Tribolium castaneum: one gene and its partner. The protein of the gene in region 1 purifies or fractionates together with the protein of each later gene. This does not show direct contact. Links are inferred from orthologs where the notes say so. Each region holds a gene or a part of one and is shown in the gene's direction. Other genes may lie near its edges.

Evidence for each region.
Region 2: the proteins of obe (region 1) and RpS3 purify together in Homo sapiens (co-immunoprecipitation; 4 studies listed by BioGRID and IntAct, with this or other methods). This does not show direct contact. The link is inferred for Tribolium castaneum from reciprocal best matches to the Homo sapiens genes ASCC3 and RPS3.

What each region holds. Positions count from the first base shown.
Region 1 is NC_087401.1:15,003,123-15,014,372, reverse strand, and holds part of obe (activating signal cointegrator 1 complex subunit 3), read left to right. Parts: intron 1-51; coding exon 52-1,060; intron 1,061-3,480; coding exon 3,481-4,094; intron 4,095-11,250. UniProt on the Homo sapiens protein: ATPase involved both in DNA repair and rescue of stalled ribosomes. 3'-5' DNA helicase involved in repair of alkylated DNA: promotes DNA unwinding to generate single-stranded substrate needed for ALKBH3, enabling ALKBH3 to process alkylated N3-methylcytosine (3mC) within double-stranded regions.
Region 2 is NC_087402.1:7,600,529-7,612,112, forward strand, and holds RpS3 (ribosomal protein S3), read left to right. Parts: upstream 1-6,676; 5' UTR 6,677-6,718; exon of another isoform or gene 6,719-6,792; intron 6,793-7,368; exon of another isoform or gene 7,369-7,421; 5' UTR 7,422-7,471; coding exon 7,472-7,501; intron 7,502-7,689; coding exon 7,690-8,056; intron 8,057-8,111; coding exon 8,112-8,269; intron 8,270-8,322; coding exon 8,323-8,493; 3' UTR 8,494-8,536; downstream 8,537-11,584. Other genes in the region: cathepsin O, read right to left, coding at 5,476-5,782, 5,832-6,334, 6,381-6,560; Kr-h2 (Krueppel homolog 2), read right to left, coding at 9,420-9,651, 9,701-9,834, 9,887-9,954, 10,028-10,209, 10,415-10,581; retinol dehydrogenase 12, read left to right, coding at 11,452-11,584. UniProt on the Homo sapiens protein: Component of the small ribosomal subunit. The ribosome is a large ribonucleoprotein complex responsible for the synthesis of proteins in the cell. Has endonuclease activity and plays a role in repair of damaged DNA.

The sequences.
Region 1 (11,250 bases):
GCTGAAGAATCATTCTCAAACCTTATAGTTCAGTGTAAATTATTTTTCCAGGAGCCTGAAAAGCTCTTTCAGTACCTGGAGCGCAAACTCTTCGACGCCGCCTCCACGCTGGAATCGGCCCAAATGGTCCGTTTCAACCCGACTTTGGGCGAACTCCGTCCGACAAACTACGGCCGTATCGCCAGTTTTTACTACATCTCGCACCAAACAATGAAATATTTCCACGACCATTTCGAACGTTCAATGGTCGAAGCCGACATCCTCCACCTCATCAGCAACGCATCCGAATTCCAGCACATCCAAGTCCGGAACGACGAGCTCGACGAGCTCGATCGCCTCCACGAAGAGTTCAGTCAATTCGAATTCAACCTAGACCCGAGCGCTGTTGTCTTCAAAGTTTTGGTTCTGATCCAGGCTAACATATCACGTGCCAAAATCCGCGTCTCGTCATTGGTCTCCGACTGCGAGTTCATAATGCAAAGTGTGACGCGATTGGCGCGAGCGCTATTCGAAATTGCGGTTGATAAAAATTACGCTTTGCAAGTGTGGCGCTGCTTGGAGGTGGCACGAATGGTTGAACAGCAAGCTTGGACTGACAGGCATCCTTTGATGCAGTTCAAGGAGTTGGAGATTAAGGGGCACAGGGCACTTGATGTGCTTCATAATATACCGATTGAAGAATTACAAGAGATGACAGAGCGGGAAATTTTGGATTTGGTTAGAAGTAGACATTTGGCGAGTCGGGTTCACCATTTTTGCAAAGCTTTTCCACGTGTTAACCTTGACGTTTCGGTTAAACCGATCACAGAGGGCGTGATCAGGTTACAGTTGCTGATTGGTGCTAACTTCAGTTGGGATAGTAGTATCCATGGTAACGTGCAGCATTACTACGCGTGGGTGGAGGACCCCACACATGATAGTATCTATCATTTTGAATCGTTTATTATCACGAAAAAACAAGTGATAAGTAAGGAACCAATCGAATTGATTTTTACGGTGCCGTTGCAAAAACCGCACTCAAATGAATATTTTGTGACGGTTGTTAATAGCAAATATATGGGTGAGTGATTGTCATTTGTTGCTTAAGAAAGCTGGGACACTTGATTTTAATAAAAAATTGTTAGAATAGAGACTGATGTGAATTTTTAAGAAATAGTTACCGAATTTTTAACGATAATTTGATGATTTTGTTGCTAATTTTGGCGAAATTTCGCTAAAAAAAATGTTTAATTTGATGATTTTTTGTCCATTTTTGCGCAAAAGTTCAATTTTTAGCTTCCGAAAAAGTCAAAAATAACAACTTTTGGACGAATTGTCAAAGTTTTCATCTTGTTTTCGACCGAAATCGAAAATTTTTGACAAGTTTTTTCCAAAATTTCGTGAAATACTTGCGCCTTTGGCTAAAATATGTCTAGTTGGAGTTGATTTCATGATTTTTTACTTGTATTTGGAATTTTTTTTTGTGATATAATACGTTTCTGAAGCAAAAATAAAGTAAATTATGTGGAAGAGGTTAAAGTGTTTCGATGAAATAATAAGAATTTTCGACATAATTTGATAATTTTATTTCTTATTTCGCTAAAAATCGAATTAAGACGTTTGAAATCGCGCTACATTATAGTCAATTTTGATTAAATTTGATGAATTTTTTGTCTATTTTTGTGGAATCTTGCGGAAAAGTTCAATTTGTAGTATTCTGAGAAAGTCAAAAATAACAATTTTTGGCTGAATCGTAAAAATTTTCGGCTTGTTTTCGACCAAATTTTTTTCACTTTAATCGAAATCGAAAATGACTGCGTATTTTTACGAAATTTTGTGAAATACTTGCGCTTTTCGCTGAAATACTCAACAGAGGGAGAAATAGTGTGAAGTTCGAGCTGATTTTATTATTTTTTCCTAGTTTTTGGAGAAATTTTGTGAAATAAGTAAATTTCTAAGTTCAAAAATAAACCAAATAGTTAAAGTGTACGTTAATTTTGTTTTTTTTATTCAAAAAAAACCTCAGTTTTTCGCATAAAAACGCACTGTTTTTGTAAATTCTGGCATGTTTTTCCCAAAATTTTGTGAAATAAATTAATTTTTGCTCCAAAAATTAACGAAACTGGTCAAAATGACATCAGTTTTAGTCCATTTTTTAGCAAATTGTTCGGTTTTTTAAGAAAAATTTTAATAAAAAGTGTGTTTAAACGCTTATACAAGGTAAAAACATAACTAGTTTCAAAATATTTTAGTAATTCGGCTTGTTTTTGATGAAATTCAGTCAAAATTAAGTCAAAATAATGAGATCTCACAAGGAAATTATTACGTTTTTAACTCAATAATGTACTTAAAGAGAAAAAAAAATGGAATAATTATACGTTTCTAGCTTGTTATGATAAAATTTCGCTTAAAAACGAACTAAATCGACTGAAACAGACCAAAATAAGCTGATTTTTTTTGGAATCTTTCAAAGTTTTTAGCTTAAAACTGACTTAAACATTCGAAAAAGGTACAAATAGTACACTTTTTGACCGATTTTTCAAATTTTTCATCATGTTTCTGACTTATTTTGGATGATGTTTTTGAAGAAACCTTCTTGTATTTGTGTTTAATAACGAACTAAATCGCACGAAAAGGCCAAAAAACGCTCGAAAAAGGCTAAAATAGTATATTTTCCTACTTCAATTCCTTGATTTCCGGCCTTTTTTTATTGAAAAAACTCAATTTTATGCTTAAGTATGGTAATTTTTAGCATGTTTTTCTCCAAAATTTACGAAATAATTACGTTCCTACTTTGAAAACTGAACAAAATCGGCCGAAACTGAGTTTTTAGGGAAATTTTGATAAAAAATTAAAACAGATTTTGGTTCAAAACAGCGATAAATACTTGAAAAAGGAAAAAATAGTGACGTTTTTGTCCTAATTTCGTAAATTTTTGCTTAGTTTTCGGCAAATTTTCGCGAAGTTATTACATTTTTTGGTTTAAAAGCGAGCTAAATCAAGCGAAATATTCCAAAATAATTGTAATTGCGTTCTAATTTTCGGATTTTCTGGCCTGTCTTAGTGAAATCTCGCGAGAAAATTTGGTTTTTAAATCAATATAACGTACTTACAGAGCAAAAGTTTGCGAAATAACGAACTAAATCAACCGAAACCGACTGAAGTAACACCTTTTTTTCCAATCTAATTATGAGAAACCTTGCAGAAAAGGGTAGTTTTTAGCTTAAAATGGCAAAAATAACACATTTTTTGCCTTGTTTTTGGCGAAATTTTGCAAAGTTTTTGAGTTTTTTGGTTTATTGTTATTGATTTTTTTTGGAAACAAACTGAAACATCAATTTTTTAGCTTTAAAGTGTTAAAAATCACAGAATTTTTGAACGAATTTTCGTATTTTTTTTCGTAATTTGACCTAAATTGGATGATTTAAAAAGTGTCCCACCTTTCAAATCTCGAAACTTTAGCCACTGGACTTGAAGGCACTAAAATTTGACGGTTTTTAGCCGCGGAAACGTCCTACAGAATCGACTTGGACAAGTTACACCTTTTGCCAAGCTACTCAATCCAGACGAAATTTTTAAGCGTGCGACCTTTACCCAAAACGGCCTTACATAACACCGAGTTTGAAAATTTGTACAGTTTTACACACTTTAACGCCGTACAAAGCCAAGTGTTTCATTGCTGTTTCAACACCGACTCCAATGTTTTACTCGGAGCACCGACAGGTTCCGGGAAGACAATAGTGTCGGAAATTTGTATTTTGCGATTATTTGCGAACCGACCCGAGCGAAAAGTTGTCTATATTGCACCAATGAAGGCTCTAGTTCGCGAGCGTGTCCTTGATTGGACGCCAAAATTCGCCAAAATTGGTAAAAAAGTGGTGGAAGTGACCGGTGATGTCACCCCTCATTCTTCACTAATCTCGACGTCTCATATTATTATTACAACGCCGGAAAAGTGGGATGGAATGAGTCGAAATTGGCTTCAGAAGGATTTTGTTAAACAAGTCGGACTTATTATAATTGACGAAATTCATCTTTTGGCTGAAGATCGAGGTCCAGTGCTTGAAGTTATCGTTTCCAGGATGAACTACATCAACAGTATCAAGAATGCTAAGGTAAAACTTACTAAAACTTTAAGAAAAAGCAAAAATTATGACATTTTTGGATTAATTTTGTGAATTTTTTGACGGCATCTCTAAAAATAATGAGCAAAAAAGTATTGCTTTTGATGTAATGTTAATGATTTTTGGCGTATTATTGATGAAAATTTCGAGAAAAAGATTAAGTTTTGGCACGCATTTTCGGCTTGATTACCGACCTTTAAGGCAAATACCTTCAAAAAATTGAAAAAAAAAAACTCACTACAGCAAATTGTTATGAACTTCTATATGTCTTAACAACCCACTAAAGTTGTTAAAAGTCCACAAAAAGTCCATTTGATCGATTTTTTGGGTTTGATTTTTTCAATTTTTTTCGCGATTTTGGCCGATTTCCGGTACCCGGAACATTTCTCGAGCAATAGCTCTGGAACTATCAGAGATAACCCCATGAAGTGTATTATCGTTGGAAAGCTCTTTAAATTATCTATCTTTTTCAAAAAAAAAATATTGTTCTCCGGCTAATAGTTTTCGAGCAAATTGGAGACAAATGCAAAAATTGGTAAAATTTTAAAAAATTCATAACTAAAAAACTATTCGGAATTTGGCAATTTTCTCGATGCCAATCGATTCCCCGGATCATTTTGCATAGGTATGGATCAAAACAGTTCCACTTTTTCGAATAGTTTAGGCGTAAATGAGAAAATAAAAAAAATTAAAAAAAAGTTAACACCCCCCCCCCTTAAAATCGGTCAATTTTTAAAGTGTCTCTAAATCAAATGAAACCTATTCTATCTTATAGATTTTGATTTGCTCTTTACGATGGAACAAACCGTTTTCTCCTAACTCTTTTAGTTTGGCCGTAATCGGCGTTTGAAAATTGAAAAATTTTTTGCGAGATATCGCCTTGAGTCCTATGCCATTTTGTAGAGTTTTTTATTCCGGTTATCCTCCATTTTTCCGTTTCTCGATAACTCTAATAGTTTCGCCGTAATTGGCGGTTGAAAATTGAAAAAAAGTGAAAATGGAAACCTTTTTTTGCGTTTTTCTCGGAAACTGTAAGAGTTAGAGCAACGAACAAAAAACCATCTGATAGCGCTTAATTTTATCTATTTTTTCGACCAAACCCGGAGCCGCTCCGGGCAACGGTTCCGGCTACAGAGGCGATCAAAGTTTTTCACTAAAAAAAATTATAAAAAAAAAACTAAAAGTCGTAGAGCACTGCGGTTTGTTCCATTGAATTCTACGGCTCATTTTACATAATATATCAATTTTTCACAAGAATTAAAATTTTAAAATTTTTTTGCTCAAATTTCCAGGGTAATATCCTTCAAAGTGACGAAAAAAAAATTTTTTTTTAAACTCACTTCAGCATATTTTTATGGACTTCTGTATGTCTTAACAACCCACTAAAGTTGTTAAAAGTCCACAAAAAGTCCATTTGATCGATTTTTTGGTTTTGATTTTTTCAATTTTTTTCGCGATTTTGGCCGATTTCCGGTACCCGGAACATTTCTCGAGCAATAGCTCCGGAACTATCAGAGATAACCCCATGAAGTGTATTATCGTTGGAAAGCTCTTTAAATTATCTATCTTTTTCAAAAAAAAATATTGTTCTCCGGCTAATAGTTTTCGAGCAAATTGGAGACAAATGCAAAAATTGGTAAAATTTTAAAAAATTCATAACTAAAAAACTATTCGGAATTTGGCACTTTTCTCGACGCCAATCGATTCCCCGGATCATTTTGCATAGGTATGGATCAAAACAGTTCCACTTTTTCGAATAGTTTAGGCGTAAATGAGAAAATAAAAAAAATTAAAAAAAAGTTAACACCCCCCCCTTAAAATCGGTCAATTTTTAAAGTGTCTCTAAATCAAATGAAACCTATTCTATCTTATAGATTTTGATGTGCTCTTTACGATGGAACAAACCGTTTTCTTCTAACTCTTTTAGTTTGGCCGTAATCGGCGTTTGAAAATTGAAAAATTTTTTGCGAGATATCGCCTTGAGTCCTATGCCATTTTGTAGAGTTTTTTATTCCGGTTATCCTCCATTTTTCCGTTTCTCGATAACTCTAATAGTTTCGCCGTAATTGGCGGTTGAAAATTGAAAAAAAGTGAAAATGGAAACCTTTTTTTGCGTTTTTCTCGGAAACTGTAAGAGTTAGAGCAACGAACAAAAAACCATCTGATAGCGCTTAATTTTATCTATTTTTTCGACCAAACCCGGAGCCGCTCCGGGCAACGGTTCCGGCTACAGAGGCGATCAAAGTTTTTCACTAAAAAAAATTATAAAAAAAAAACTAAAAGTCGTAGAGCACTGCGGTTTGTTCCATTGAATTCTACGGCTCATTTTACATAATATATCAATTTTTCACAAGAATTAAAATTTTAAAATTTTTTTGCTCAAATTTCCAGGGTAATATCCTTCAAAGTGACGAAAAAAAAATTTTTTTTTAAACTCACTTCAGCATATTTTTATGGACTTCTGTATGTCTTAACAACCCACTAAAGTTGTTAAAAGTCCACAAAAAGTCCATTTGATCGATTTTTTGGTTTTGATTTTTTCAATTTTTTTCGCGATTTTGGCCGATTTCCGGTACCCGGAACATTTCTCGAGCAATAGCTCCGGAACTATCAGAGATAACCCCATGAAGTGTATTATCGTTGGAAAGCTCTTTAAATTATCTATCTTTTTCAAAAAAAATTATTGTTCTCCGGCGAATAGTTTTCGAGCAAATTGGAGACAAATGCAAAAATTGGTAAAATTTTAAAAAATTCATAACTAAAAAACTATTCGGAATTTGGCACTTTTCTCGACGCCAATCGATTCCCCGGATCATTTTGCATAGGTATGGATCAAAACAGTTCCACTTTTTCGAATAGTTTAGGCGTAAATGAGAAAATAAAAAAAATTAAAAAAAAGTTAACACCCCCCCCCTTAAAATCGGTCAATTTTTAAAGTGTCTCTAAATCAAATGAAACCTATTCTATCTTATAGATTTTGATTTGCTCTTTACGATGGAACAAACCGTTTTCTCCTAACTCTTTTAGTTTGGCCGTAATCGGCGTTTGAAAATTGAAAAATTTTTTGCGAGATATCGCCTTGAGTCCTATGCCATTTTGTAGAGTTTTTTATTCCGGTTATCCTCCATTTTTCCGTTTCTCGATAACTCTAATAGTTTCGCCGTAATTGGCGGTTGAAAATTGAAAAAAAGTGAAAATGGAAACCTTTTTTTGCGTTTTTCTCGGAAACTGTAAGAGTTAGAGCAACGAACAAAAAACCATCTGATAGCGCTTAATTTTATCTATTTTTTCGACCAAACCCGGAGCCGCTCCGGGCAACGGTTCCGGCTACAGAGGCGATCAAAGTTTTTCACTAAAAAAAATTATAAAAAAAAAACTAAAAGTCGTAGAGCACTGCGGTTTGTTCCATTGAATTCTACGGCTCATTTTACATAATATATCAATTTTTCACAAGAATTAAAATTTTAAAATTTTTTTGCTCAAATTTCCAGGGTAATATCCTTCAAAGTGACGAAAAAAAAATTTTTTTTTAAACTCACTTCAGCATATTTTTATGGACTTCTGTATGTCTTAACAACCCACTAAAGTTGTTAAAAGTCCACAAAAAGTCCATTTGATCGATTTTTTGGTTTTGATTTTTTCAATTTTTTTCGCGATTTTGGCCGATTTCCGGTACCCGGAACATTTCTCGAGCAATAGCTCCGGAACTATCAGAGATAACCCCATGAAGTGTATTATCGTTGGAAAGCTCTTTAAATTATCTATCTTTTTCAAAAAAAAATATTGTTCTCCGGCTAATAGTTTTCGAGCAAATTGGAGACAAATGCAAAAATTGGTAAAATTTTAAAAAATTCATAACTAAAAAACTATTCGGAATTTGGCACTTTTCTCGACGCCAATCGATTCCCCGGATCATTTTGCATAGGTATGGATCAAAACAGTTCCACTTTTTCGAATAGTTTAGGCGTAAATGAGAAAATAAAAAAAATTAAAAAAAAGTTAACACCCCCCCCTTAAAATCGGTCAATTTTTAAAGTGTCTCTAAATCAAATGAAACCTATTCTATCTTATAGATTTTGATGTGCTCTTTACGATGGAACAAACCGTTTTCTTCTAACTCTTTTAGTTTGGCCGTAATCGGCGTTTGAAAATTGAAAAATTTTTTGCGAGATATCGCCTTGAGTCCTATGCCATTTTGTAGAGTTTTTTATTCCGGTTATCCTCCATTTTTCCGTTTCTCGATAACTCTAATAGTTTCGCCGTAATTGGCGGTTGAAAATTGAAAAAAAGTGAAAATGGAAACCTTTTTTTGCGTTTTTCTCGGAAACTGTAAGAGTTAGAGCAACGAACAAAAAACCATCTGATAGCGCTTTATTTTATCTATTTTTTCGACCAAACCCGGAGCCGCTCCGGGCAACGGTTCCGGCTACAGAGGCGATCAAAGTTTTTCACTAAAAAAAATTATAAAAAAAAAACTAAAAGTCGTAGAGCACTGCGGTTTGTTCCATTGAATTCTACGGCTCATTTTACATAATATATCAATTTTTCACAAGAATTAAAATTTTAAAATTTTTTTGCTCAAATTTCCAGGGTAATATCCTTCAAAGTGACGAAAAAAAAATTTTTTTTTAAACTCACTTCAGCATATTTTTATGGACTTCTGTATGTCTTAACAACCCACTAAAGTTGTTAAAAGTCCACAAAAAGTCCATTTGATCGATTTTTTGGGTTTGATTTTTTCAATTTTTTTCGCGATTTTGGCCGATTTCCGGTACCCGGAACATTTCTCGAGCAATAGCTCCGGAACTATCAGAGATAACCCCATGAAGTGTATTATCGTTGGAAAGCTCTTTAAATTATCTATCTTTTTCAAAAAAAATTATTGTTCTCCGGCTAATAGTTTTCGAGCAAATTGGAGACAAATGCAAAAATTGGTAAAATTTTAAAAAATTCATAACTAAAAAACTATTCGGAATTTGGCACTTTTCTCGACGCCAATCGATTCCCCGGATCATTTTGCATAGGTATGGATCAAAACAGTTCCACTTTTTCGAATAGTTTAGGCGTAAATGAGAAAATAAAAAAAATTAAAAAAAAGTTAACACCCCCCCCTTAAAATCGGTCAATTTTTAAAGTGTCTCTAAATCAAATGAAACCTATTCTATCTTATAGATTTTGATGTGCTCTTTACGATGGAACAAACCGTTTTCTCCTAACTCTTTTAGTTTGGCCGTAATCGGCGTTTGAAAATTGAAAATTTTTTTGCGAGATATCGCCTTGAGTCCTATGCCATTTTGTAGAGTTTTTTATTCCGGTTATCCTCCATTTTTCCGTTTCTCGATAACTCTAATAGTTTCGCCGTAATTGGCGGTTGAAAATTGAAAAAAAGTGAAAATGGAAACCTTTTTTTGCGTTTTTCTCGGAAACTGTAAGAGTTAGAGCAACGAACAAAAAACCATCTGATAGCGCTTAATTTTATCTATTTTTTCGACCAAACCCGGAGCCGCTCCGGGCAACGGTTCCGGCTACAGAGGCGATCAAAGTTTTTCACTAAAAAAAATTATAAAAAAAAAACTAAAAGTCGTAGAGCACTGCGGTTTGTTCCATTGAATTCTACGGCTCATTTTACATAATATATCAATTTTTCACAAGAATTAAAATTTTAAAATTTTTTTGCTCAAATTTCCAGGGTAATATCCTTCAAAGTGACGAAAAAAAAATTTTTTTTTAAACTCACTTCAGCATATTTTTATGGACTTCTGTATGTCTTAACAACCCACTAAAGTTGTTAAAAGTCCACAAAAAGTCCATTTGATCGATTTTTTGGTTTTGATTTTTTCAATTTTTTTCGCGATTTTGGCCGATTTCCGGTACCCGGAACATTTCTCGAGCAATAGCTCCGGAACTATCAGAGATAACCCCATGAAGTGTATTATCGTTGGAAAGCTCTTTAAATTATCTATCTTTTTCAAAAAAAATTATTGTTCTCCGGCGAATAGTTTTCGAGCAAATTGGAGACAAATGCAAAAATTGGTAAAATTTTAAAAAATTCATAACTAAAAAACTATTCGGAATTTGGCACTTTTCTCGACGCCAATCGATTCCCCGGATCATTTTGCATAGGTATGGATCAAAACAGTTCCACTTTTTCGAATAGTTTAGGCGTAAATGAGAAAATAAAAAAAATTAAAAAAAAGTTAACACCCCCCCCCCTTAAAATCGGTCAATTTTTAAAGTGTCTCTAAATCAAATGAAACCTATTCTATCTTATAGATTTTGATTTGCTCTTTACGATGGAACAAACCGTTTTCTCCTAACTCTTTTAGTTTGGCCGTAATCGGCGTTTGAAAATTGAAAAATTTTTTGCGAGATATCGCCTTGAGTCCTATGCCATTTTGTAGAGTTTTTTATTCCGGTTATCCTCCATTTTTCCGTTTCTCGATAACTCTAATAGTTTCGCCGTAATTGGCGGTTGAAAATTGAAAAAAAGTGAAAATGGAAACCTTTTTTTGCGTTTTTCTCGGAAACTGTAAGAGTTAGAGCAACGAACAAAAAACCATCTGATAGCGCTTTATTTTATCTATTTTTTCGACCAAACCCGGAGCCGCTCCGGGCAACGGTTCCGGCTACAGAGGCGATCAAAGTTTTTCACTAAAAAAAATTATAAAAAAAAAACTAAAAGTCGTAGAGCACTGCGGTTTGTTCCATTGAATTCTACGGCTCATTTTACATAATATATCAATTTTTCACAAGAATTAAAATTTTAAAATTTTTTTGCTCAAATTTCCAGGGTAATATCCTTCAAAGTGACGAAAAAAAAATTTTTTTTTAAACTCACTTCAGCATATTTTTATGGACTTCTGTATGTCTTAACAACCCACTAAAGTTGTTAAAAGTCCACAAAAAGTCCATTTGATCGATTTTTTGGTTTTGATTTTTTCAATTTTTTTCGCGATTTTGGCCGATTTCCGGTACCCGGAACATTTCTCGAGCAATAGCTCCGGAACTATCAGAGATAACCCCATGAAGTGTATTATCGTTGGAAAGCTCTTTAAATTATCTATCTTTTTCAAAAAAAAATATTGTTCTCCGGCTAATAGTTTTCGAGCAAATTGGAGACAAATGCAAAAATTGGTAAAATTTTAAA
Region 2 (11,584 bases), on another chromosome or scaffold:
GGCACCTCGAGAGGAGCCGGCGCGGTCGACCCGACCAGGATGGCTACGGCGCCCCAATGTATTACTAGAATTTTTTTAAACTTGTTGTTATTATTATTATCTTAATTTTAATGGTAAAATTGTTCTTAAATTAAATGTACATTGTTTTGTTTTCTTTGATTTTTTGTTGTAAATGCTTTTTAATTAATAATACCAATTCTTGCAGTTTTCAGTTATTTTTATTTTGTTTTATTTTTCTTTTCTTTCGTATTGTGCTGTTGGAGATTGCCCAACCTTCTATCCTAGTCCCTCACCGCCCCGAGTGATCACATAGCTTCGAGCACGGCACGGCTGTTGAAGCAGCCCTCTCTCTTCTTTTCTACTTACTGTACTGTAAACTTTTATACTTAGAACGTAAGTGATGATATTAATTATTGTATTCCTGCGGGAGCAGCTTGTGTAACGTTACAATTATGATATATTGAGACAAAAATACTATTGATATTGAACAATCTTCCTGGGCCCAACTAAGCAAATCCTATATAGGTATAGATATATAGGCATGTGTGATTTTTTTCTTATCATATATAGTCATTAGTATTAGTAGCAAGGTAGTTTGGATACTTTTAACTTATTTGTAGGCAGTCTCGCTAGAGAGGCTTGCGTTGTGTGAGTTTAGGCGTAAACTAACGTTTAAAACAAGATTAAAAAAGCATTTTCGGTAAGACTGATTCAACAACACATTTCTTCTGGTAACGAACTTAGTGATACGCAGATGCAATAGTCCTCCGGGGAGGGTGTCGGCCGTCCACCTTTCCAGCAAGATGCGCACAATGGGGCGGCCGCCGTCCGCCCAGGGGCCTGTCACTTGAATATGTTGCGTTTACCTTCATGTCAATTACTCTAGGGAACATTACTCTATTTTATCCACGTGGAGTGTGTACATATGTAGTGTCGTCTCCTCCGGTTCGCACACCACCACCACCACCACAAACCGCACTAAAGACCTCCACCTCCCGCTCCGCCTCACCGCTCCCCGTGTGTCGTCTGTTCTCCATTTGTCTCTCTAACAAATATCCACCTCGTTGTTTGGCCGCCAAGGGCCGCACTCACATTCCCGTCGCACAATCTCTTGTTATTCGCTGCATGAGTTGTTCCAGATTATAAATTTTTATACATTTTGCTCATGTTGTAGATTGTTGTTGTGCACTGTTAATTAATAATGAGCCACGCCGCAGAGTCCACACTTCCGAGCACCTATTCCCGGTATTGCGCTCGAACAGAACCTCTTAACAGACTGTGATTATCGGAAATGCCTTCCCCAACCCCCGATGTTATTATCACTTGCACACACCACCTGCAGGCCGCCCCGAACCGTCACCGTCGCCGTCTGCTCTCGCGCGAAAACGCTGCCCAACAACCAATAAATTGCTTTTTAAATCTAAAATTTCTCAAAGTCGCTCCAACTCGAATCAAAACGGGCTTCAGTTCGCATTCAGCGTAGTTTTTCAGTGTTGGGCAGCGAAAATGGCGGAGGCGCCGGGCCGCGCCGCATCCGTAAATGAACTCAAAAAGCGTACGCTCTTCCACCACACCTCTTCGTGAAGTACGAACACCAAAGCATTGTACGTGTTGTACTGTAAAAAGGAAAAACTTGTACTGACTGTACTGATCACACCAATTCTCCTTGCTTGTTGGCTGGAACCCGCGGACCAAAGCTCGCGCGGACCGACCAAAAGTAGCTGCTTACGTCGTATTCTAGTCTAGTCGTTTTATATCAAAAACAAAAATTATTGATGATATATTGTATTTTTATGTGCTTTGTACGTCCTTATTATGGTTGTATTGAAAAAGTGCGACGTATGTCTCTCTCTTTGATAAGGTAGTAGTAGGTATTTGTTAGGACTGACCGAGTTTATCACATTTACACTTAAGGTTATTGTAACAATACGAGCATTATATGAGTGTTTTCTTGTTGTGAGGCCGCACATTCCAGGCGCCCGCGCCTGTTGCGGCTCTCGGGACCGGGGGCGCGGCCCGCGGCCCCGAGAGTCTCGCGGGGGCCCCGGACGCCACCTAGCATTAGCCGCTTTGTCCGTCATCATCGTTCCTGCCATAGGTCGCGCAGACAAATCGCAGATATTCTATATTTGATAGCAATAGTGCGTGTTATACATTATATCTGTGTAGTGTTGTGTTGGCCACGTGACACATATCGCCGCCGTCGCCGACCGTCGTGTTGCCCCCATCACTCCCGATAATGTGCTTCTCTCCGCCGCCGCCGCCGCCGCCGCTTGCTTGTCTGTGTCCGTGTGTGTTTATCGTTAATTGCGTAGGATTTATGAATTAGTAGCCGCGAGCTGTCCGCGCCTAAGCTTTTGCTCTTCTCTCAACTGTAAGACTGATGCGTTGTAGTAAGTACTTACTTATATTTGCAAAATTGAATCAAGGCAATATATATTGTGAGTAATATATATTTTTGAGCTATGTTTGTTACTTACATAATCAATCAACTCGACGAGCGGGTGTAATTTTAGCCAAAAAAAAACAAAAAATCTTTGTAAAAATTAAATGAGCGTGTTCGTTGACGCAGTAGTGGCCTCTACCGCCGCTTGGCCTAGTCTGTGCATGCGCCCTCGCACCCCCACACCAAGTGCACCTCACTCGTTTATTGCGGCAGTGGACAATAACGTTACTCCACTTGTTGGCAACTACTCTATTCCAAAGTATTTTCAAAGTTGTTAAATCAAAATGTTACGATGATAAAATTAAGGTGTTCTTCTCGGTTGAAGTTTTCTTTGGAACTCGACACATTCCGAACAGATGGTTTATTTTGTATATGATCGTTAATATTAGAAAAAAACATAATTAGTGTGTGAATGTCACTCGATTATTATGGAGCACATTATCTGGCTAAAGCATTACATGTATACACTGTTGGTCCTGTTACAAGAATATCTTGATAATTTATATGTTGTAATGATAAAGTATTTTTAAAAATCGAAAAAAAAATGAGACCGTTGTGAGGTCGACGCGTCCGCGTCGACACTATTATTTGATTATTTGTCTGTTTCTTTTATTGTCGGAAGTTTCTATTTTTCATAGGACAGTTTCTTGTTATTATATAAACTAAGTGTGCCTAGTCAATAGAGTTCAGGTCAATTTTACGAAGTAATTAATATTAAAGAACAATGTTGTGCAGTTCCATCGACATTATTATGAAAGAGATTGAAAACTTGTTTCCCCTTTGATTACATTATTACAAAAAAGCCCAAGAGCAGTGAACAGCGCGCCCATAATGTTGCGAATTTGACCTAACCGACAAAGAATTTTGTGAGGAGCGATGTTGTGCTGATTGTGGTCATTTTTTGCAACTACCACCCGCACAGCACAATGGACGCTCCCGACGCATGTTCAGTCTCGTCGTTATAAATTTTATTATTTATTTAACATTTAGTCATTTCTACTCTGTACTGAGTACAATATTTGATGATTAAGTCATATCAGTTTGTTACAAGCGTGTATTATTGCAGTGGTGTATCTAATAAAGCATTTCGTTTGCTTGAAATTTAATCGAATTATTTAGTAGATTAACAGTAAACCCCATCAATCCACTCCTTACCGTGGTAGTAGCCGAACCTATAGTAGATGGCACCTATAATAATGTGGGACATGATCGTAGACGTATTATACCTAAGTTATTACTAGTTTATTAGTTATAGACTTGGAAAAAATACAAACACGATACACAGTTTGCTCCCGATAAACGTTCGCTTTTCGCAGCTTTGATGTAATCAAAGGTAAGTATCGCGAGAATCCACACAAAGAATAATCAAGTTCCAACAGCAATTTCATTACGAATAGCTAATATAATAAACACCCTCCAGTTATTCCAATTAGGTACACGATCCAACAAAAGAAAAAAGTCGGAACTTTGTAAGCCATGTTACCTACTTGACTGTAATTTAGTTGACGTTCTTAATTAAATAACTAAGTGAGCAAGTACCTACTACAAAAAGACTAAGGTAAGCACTTCGTATCAGAATAATGGAATTACAAGTTAAATGATCGCTCTCAGCTTTTACCACGTTTAATTGTACGTCTCTGTGCAATAAAAAAGGGTTTTATACATTTCGCCTCAGGTGAGGTTGTTCTGTTGTCAATAATAATAATAATAATAATAAGGCAGTAAGCCACACTCCAAAAAATGTCAGTATAAATACTTCCTACAAGAATTCCATCAACGACTTGTTTAACCTGATAAACATCTTCTAGTTTTACCTTTAAATGACATTCTAACGTAAAAAATTACAATCCAAAGTTTTTTTGGCGAAACGCAATACGAAGTCGTTAGTAGGTATAATGTAACCATTAGTCAATGCAAATGTTACTGATTTAATAATAATATAACGCTAATCATGCGGAAAAATCGCAGGTAAGTGTTTCGAGGTTGATCATTACGTAGCATTATTATTAAAGGAGCAAAAATAAATACTTGCAAGACACTGTGTTATTCAAACGGGATAAATAAAATATTTATAAACTATTTTTTGAGGAAATTATTTTCACCAGCCCAGATCCCCTTCCCTATCAACACTGTGAGCTGTTAAAATTCAAAATAGAGCCGCGTCGGCCAGATTTTTTTCAACACATCGATAATTTGGCGAAAAGTCAACATTTCTGGGTTTTGAGTTTTCAAACTCACTGTATTATTTTCCGTGTGTAAGGAAATTTTGCCTAGCAAACCACCACAAAAGTTAAATTTATTTTTGAAATGGATAATTATGATGTAGATTAACTCAATTACAGGGACAGGATTAAATCAAACAAAATGTTTCCGTTAAATTTATATTTAGAAAAATAATAACTACCCATTACCCACAGAGCAATTAAAAGAACAAAACTTTAAAAAGCCTAAAATAACACCTTTATATTTATGTTACTTCTAAAATTTAATGCAATGGCCACTCTTAACAAAAATCTTGAACACAGAGAGGCTTTTTTATGTAAGTATAGTGCACATGTCCCTGGTTAAAAACATTTTTTTTATTTCTTTCTCGAAAATCTTGACGCAATATCGGATTTCTTATTTAAGCTGCAGCAAAATTTGCTATAAAAATGTACCAGTATAAAATTAGGTATAGCAACAAAAAATTAGGTAACAAAAGAGAAATGGCTCTGTATTATTTAGACGACTTTAAACCACTGGAACTGGAATCCGTTATGAAATACGTACCTGCTTTTATAAAGGGAAGGACCATGAAGCTTATTTATAAAAAAAATGTCTGACGCAACAACAAACTGAAGATGTGTGAGTTTTTTTCACAAAAAAAGGAGTTAATTATTACAAGCTCATTGGTGGCGACCAGTATTTATTTTCAAGGACTATGGAAGAAAAAATACAATAATAAAAAAACATTTATTCTCACTTGGTGTATAAAACCTATACATTTTCTACATAAAATGGATACACTTAAACATCACTATCTAAATAAATCACAGTACTCTTAATGCTGAGACCTCGTTTGCGATCCCACACATATTTTTATCCACAGCTATGTACAAAAATCCCCCGTCCCCAAAGTCCACACCCCACGTATTCCTGACAATATAATGCGGAATACTTGCAGTCAAATCATACCCAACAATCTGGACAGCATGATTTAACTTTGACGGATCCCCATCACAGTGATACTCAATAACACCTCCAATGTAATTCTGCCAAGTTTGCGCATTAATCGCAACAGCCAGGGGTCCATTATCCGCCAAAAGCCTCAACATAACATCTTCAGACCCCACTAATCTGAAAGTTTCCATAAGAAAGAATAAACTTAAAAAATAACTAAACGAACCCTTCACACATGAAGTCTCTAACATGGACACCAGCCGAGCCCCGGCCACATTTACCCCCATAATCGGCGTGTCTTTGAATCGTGAAATTTGTGGCTTTGATCCAAGACAGTAAAGTGCAAATATCGCCCCCATTGCACCCTTTGTTGTTACCAGCGCAATCGATAATTTCTTGCACACTGAGCTCCTCAGACTTGTTGGTTTTGATGGCGTTCATGGACTCCACAGTTTCAATAACAGAGTAGGCCCAGCAGGCCCCACAACTGCCTTGGTTGTAAATTCTAGTCACTGCGTTTTTTTCTCTCCAATCTACTTTATTAGGCACTGTTGCTCGTTTATGGTGGTGTCGTTTTGGCTCATTTGAATGCGTCTTCTGACTCAGGTTTGATTGTAAATAGGTTTGGAAAAATTCCTCTGGTAACAAGTCCGAGAATTTCGTTAAACCGTACAGTGCTGAACCATTCCTTTTTTTGGAATTCAAAGTCTCGATTGTTTGTAGTGATTGCTGAAAAGCGACGTTATACAACAAGGACACAAATTATAAGTTTTACCTTAAATGCATGAAGACGGTTTTGATACACAGAAGGGTCATCGTATGTCTTGTTGAACCTTTTCAAGTACTCTTGAAATTGTGATTCGGCTTGGTCTGGGCCTTTTATTCTTATAGGGATAACGAAAAATAACAGAGCAATGTAGAAAATCGCTTGCAAGTAAGTGCTCCACGAAGCCATTCTTATCAAAACAGATATTTTGGTAACAATGATAATATTGAACTATTTGTCGCTATCGCCATGTTTATTAATTTGATTATCTTGAAACACAATCCTGGCCCAGTTAAGTGACTGAGTGGAACAGAAATTTATAATGAGGGTGAATGAGGTTTAAGCAGGTATTTTTTGATCCACATTGTATAAAATGTCACGACATAACCTCAACGTATGTTGTCAAACCACAAACATAAAAAATAGATGACAGAAATTAACAAAATTACCAAAAAAACTAGAGAATTTATTTATTTATTTTTGTTTTTAATTTATTTTTGCCTATGGTCTTACATTGTTTTACGCAACAGTTGCATAAATTATTCGGTCCAAGATCTTTCCCCAAGATAATATTTTACATTTGGCGCAACTTGTGTAGAATTACATTGCGTTTATTTTCTCAATTACGGCGAAAATATACGACAAAATTGAGATATTTTCAATTATTCGTATGCAAAATTGTCTGGAGAATTGATTGGCGTCGTAAATTCGTAATAGTTTTTCAAGTTATAAACCGAAATAGATTTTGGCTATTTTTGCATTTGTTAGCAATAATAATATTTTTGGAAACTACCAGTAGCAGGACAATGACCTTTTTTTAAACGATAGATGATTAAAAAGAGTTCTGAACACATAAAAGTTCATAAAAGTTGTTGGTTTGGTTGGAGCTACTCAGATAAAAAAAAAATAATTTTTTGAAGGTAAAAAAACTGAAAAAAGAACAGTCTTTTCATTACGTTATTTACCCGATATGCAAGAAAGTTTTCTCTCCAAAAATTATTCAAATAAGCCGCCTTGTAAGCGTCCTCTATCACATCCCTTCCCAATTAGGTCGACTTCCGCTCGCCACACGTCAAACCTTTTCCATTTAGAACGTCAAAATGGCGACTCCAATTTCGAAAAAACGCAAGGTAAATACCAGAAATTGGCCTTTCCATCCACTTAAACATGTTTAACTCTTCATTAGAGCCCAAAATCTTGTAAAATAAGCACACATGTTTGGGCTAACATTCATGTTTACTTGTTCCCCAAACCATAACCCAACATTTTCCCACATGTGGTCCCCAGTTCACCGACTTGATGTTGCGCTTATTTGTAGTTTGTTGGCGATGGCGTTTTCAAAGCCGAATTGAACGAGTTCTTGACTCGTGAATTATCAGAAGATGGGTACTCCGGGGTTGAGGTCCGAGTCACCCCAACTCGCACGGAAATCATCATCATGGCCACACGTACTGACCGTGTTTTGGGGGAGAAGAACCGTCGTATTCGTGAATTGACTTCAGTCGTACAGAAACGTTTCAATTTCCCCGAAAACTCAGTCGTTTTGTATGGCGAGAAGGTGGCCAACAGGGGTCTGTGTGCCATTGCACAAGCAGAGTCTCTTAGATTCAAATTGATCGGAGGTTTGGCCGTGCGCAGGGCTTGCTATGGTGTTTTGAGGTACATCATGGAATGTGGCGCTAAAGGTTTGGACATTTGGCTCAAAACGTATTTTGAATTAATTTAGTGGTTATTTTGCAGGGTGTGAAGTTGTAGTTTCTGGAAAACTGCGTGGCCAGAGAGCCAAATCGATGAAGTTTGTTGACGGTCTCATGATCCACTCTGGGGACCCATGCAATGATTATGTGGACACAGCCACCCGCCACGTCTTGCTAAGACAGGGTGTGCTGGGAATTAAAGTAAGTTTTTGTAAAATTATTGGTGTTTGTATGATGCTATTTTGTTGTATTAGGTCAAGATTATGTTGCCGTGGGACCCCAGCGGCAAAACAGGCCCCAAAAAGCCTCTGCCTGACAATGTCTCTGTTGTGGAACCTAAAGAGGAGATTTTGCCTGCCTACCCCAGCAGTGAAATCAAAGCAGTCAAACCTGACGCACCACCAGCTATTCCAGTAGTAGCTTAAAGTTATCATAAGATTAATTTTCAATAAAATTCTGGAAAGATAACTTTCGTTTTATTTTAATACCAAGAAAAATGCCCTTCCTGTTTCAACCTTATTCCTAATTTTGCCATTGGGAATGTTTTCTCCCTTCTAAAAAAAGAAATTCCTCTAAAGCAGTGAGTCATTAACTGCGACGTGTTTTATCGACATTTCAGAAAATTAGCTAAACTTTGGAGCTACGTAATTTCCAACTAAGTAAGATTTTACAAAATGACACGTAAACAAAAATTTTGGCGAAGCAACTAATTGTTGAGTGAAAAAGGCAAAAGCAGCGTAGATAATTTCCGTTTCTTTTTGAACAAAATATGGTTTAAAAATGTGCTAAAGTAAGCATTTAAAAGACATCGTGATTCTGTCCGTTTTTAAAGGAATTTCGCAAAATAAGAGAGCTTAAAGCAATTTTTAATTTTCGGCCTGTTTACTAAATGTTTATCTCTGAACTGGATCATAGTTCGTAATAACAATAACAAAAATAAAAAATGGGAATAATGAAGAATAATGGGAATAATGAAGAGTATTTCAATAAAACGCCCTTTTTTAAATATTTTTTTATTGTGAAATTACAAACTTTTGCTTATTAACATAACAACATGACATGGAGAAAATTTAATTCGAATGAGTTTTACAACAGAAACCTCCATGAGCACAATGCATTTATAACGATATAACAAAACTACTTTACACCATCCATACTAAAAATTAATAAAAAATCATTCCTGGGTTAAAAGTATATAAAAAGTAACGGACGAAATTTTGCAACCATACCTCAAATTCGTGCAAAAAATTGCATGAACATGTACCAAACAAGTGCAAATAAACAATACTAGGCGTTAAAATTACCCATATCACGAACATTTGATATAATAAGGATACATGGAACAACTAGCTCACTGCTGATGCTGGGCTTGCACCTGGGGAGGTGCTAACTTAACAGTGAAATTGATAATCCCTAGCAAGATTGACTTCACAAAGGAAGGTAGATTGGGCTTTGCTGCGGTCTTTTCGAACAAGATTCTGAGTTCATGGAACATGTTTCTATTGTAAGGGTTACGCCTTGATGTGTACCTTTGAGTCAAAAAATGATAATAGATAAAAGGCGTCAGTAGACTAGCCCGTCCCCTGCAAAAACAATTTTTATAAAAAATATTACCCCATTTAGATTATTTACATAGCGACAAAAAGTACAGTGAGTGGCATCATAATAATCTCAGTGAATGCGATCAGTCTCAAGATATTTAGTGACTGGAATTCGACCAAAGATATCAAGAGGCGGGCGCCCCACCACGAGTTTTGGCCCAAAGTCTGAAAAACAAAAAATTACTAAAACGTTACTAGTGCTGTTACTGACTATTACATCAAGTAGAGTTAGTGAGTAACTGGCTGAATGTAGAATAGCGAACAGAACCACTGGCAACAAAACCACTGTATTCTAGTTAAGGAAATGAATTCAGTGCTGCTCTAATTGAATCAATTCACATTAATTAGAGAAGGATACAGGTCAAGGGTGCCACATAGATAAAAATCATGGAATAGAAGAGATAGTGGCAGCTATCCTCCATCAACAACTGTGCCACAAACTCCCGACTCAGCCTAACCCTCCCCAACCTCTGGTGCAGCCTGAGGGCGTTAATGGCAGCGTTCGCAATGAGCGCCTTGTAATAGGCATTTTGAGCACTCCTGCAACACAACAAAAATTTCTCACTGAGTGAAAGTTGAAAAAGAAAGTGCATATGTGATGGGCTACTTTTCACTCTTAGGATCCTCAACCATACAACGTCCACTTTTGGCGTTTTTACCTAAACACCACAATTAAAAACACAACCCAAGAACAACCGGTTATCAACCGGCTACCTGTAATTAGCATGAGTACAAGGCTACTTACCCGAAAATTGGCAAAAAGTAGCCGCAAGTGAAGAGGATGGTCAGCACCCGAATGGCCCACAACCCACAGTCGATTTTGTGGGTGAGCACGTGCTGCTTGAGGGCCTCCACGTTCAGCCCCCGCTGTCTTTGGTCCGAACTGCTCGATGGGCCCGCACTGTCACTCATTTCTTCGAGATTTGGAAAAACACCAACGGTTTACAGTGACACGTAGGTGGTTAGCAAATTCGCGAAATAGCACGACCGAATAATGTTAATGTTTGATTTTTATTACAAACAGGACGATACGTGCATATCTCACTTGCTCGTAAACACGCAATGACATAGTGACATTTACGTTGCCATGAGATTGCGTCCGATTTTGACGTTTGTGGGAGGGAAGGAAACTGTATTTGGGGACCCGAAACTAAACCCCACACAGATTTTTTACTAACACGTGGACACATTGGCATTGTTGAAGTCAAACACATCGCCCTTTTTCGAAAAATTAATTTATGAGGGGTGGTATTTGGGGAACAATTTACCAGATTGGGTGCTTCTTTTGCGAATGGATAGATGTCGCGACGCGCCAACACCTGATTTTGACATTTGACAACCGAAAGGTTGGGGGCCTCAGAAAACAAATAATTAATTAATAATTTCGATCGATTGAAAACTGTGACCCGATGCCACTAGTGACCCTTGTCCTCTCCACATATATGCTAATCTCACATCCTAATTTGAAACAGGATTTGGTGTTACCGTTCGTTGTGGTTTCACCGTTAAAATCTTCAATTAATAATTAATGGGATACGCTCCAATTATAGCGCACAAAAGAGCCGTTGCTTCTTTGAAAATTGACAAAATTTGAAGTTTGAACGAAAAATTGTAATTCCCCAGTCTCGTAATTACCCAATACCTGTCCTGAGTCAGCCCGTTGGACCCACTCAACTTATCTCCTTCGCGTGTTCGTCGGAAATAGAGAAAGTCATGTCCGAGAAAGTCGCTTAGTTAGAGCTAAACAGCACAAGCGTCAACATTTTTTAATGTTTTTAATCCATGTTTTTGTTAATTGGCTGTGGGATAATCATCATCGTCACAATTGTGGCGATATGGCGCTCAAAAAAGCCCCTAAAAACGATCTTAGCTGAGGCAAAATACGAGCTACTGTATAATGCAGTGGGATCCAGGG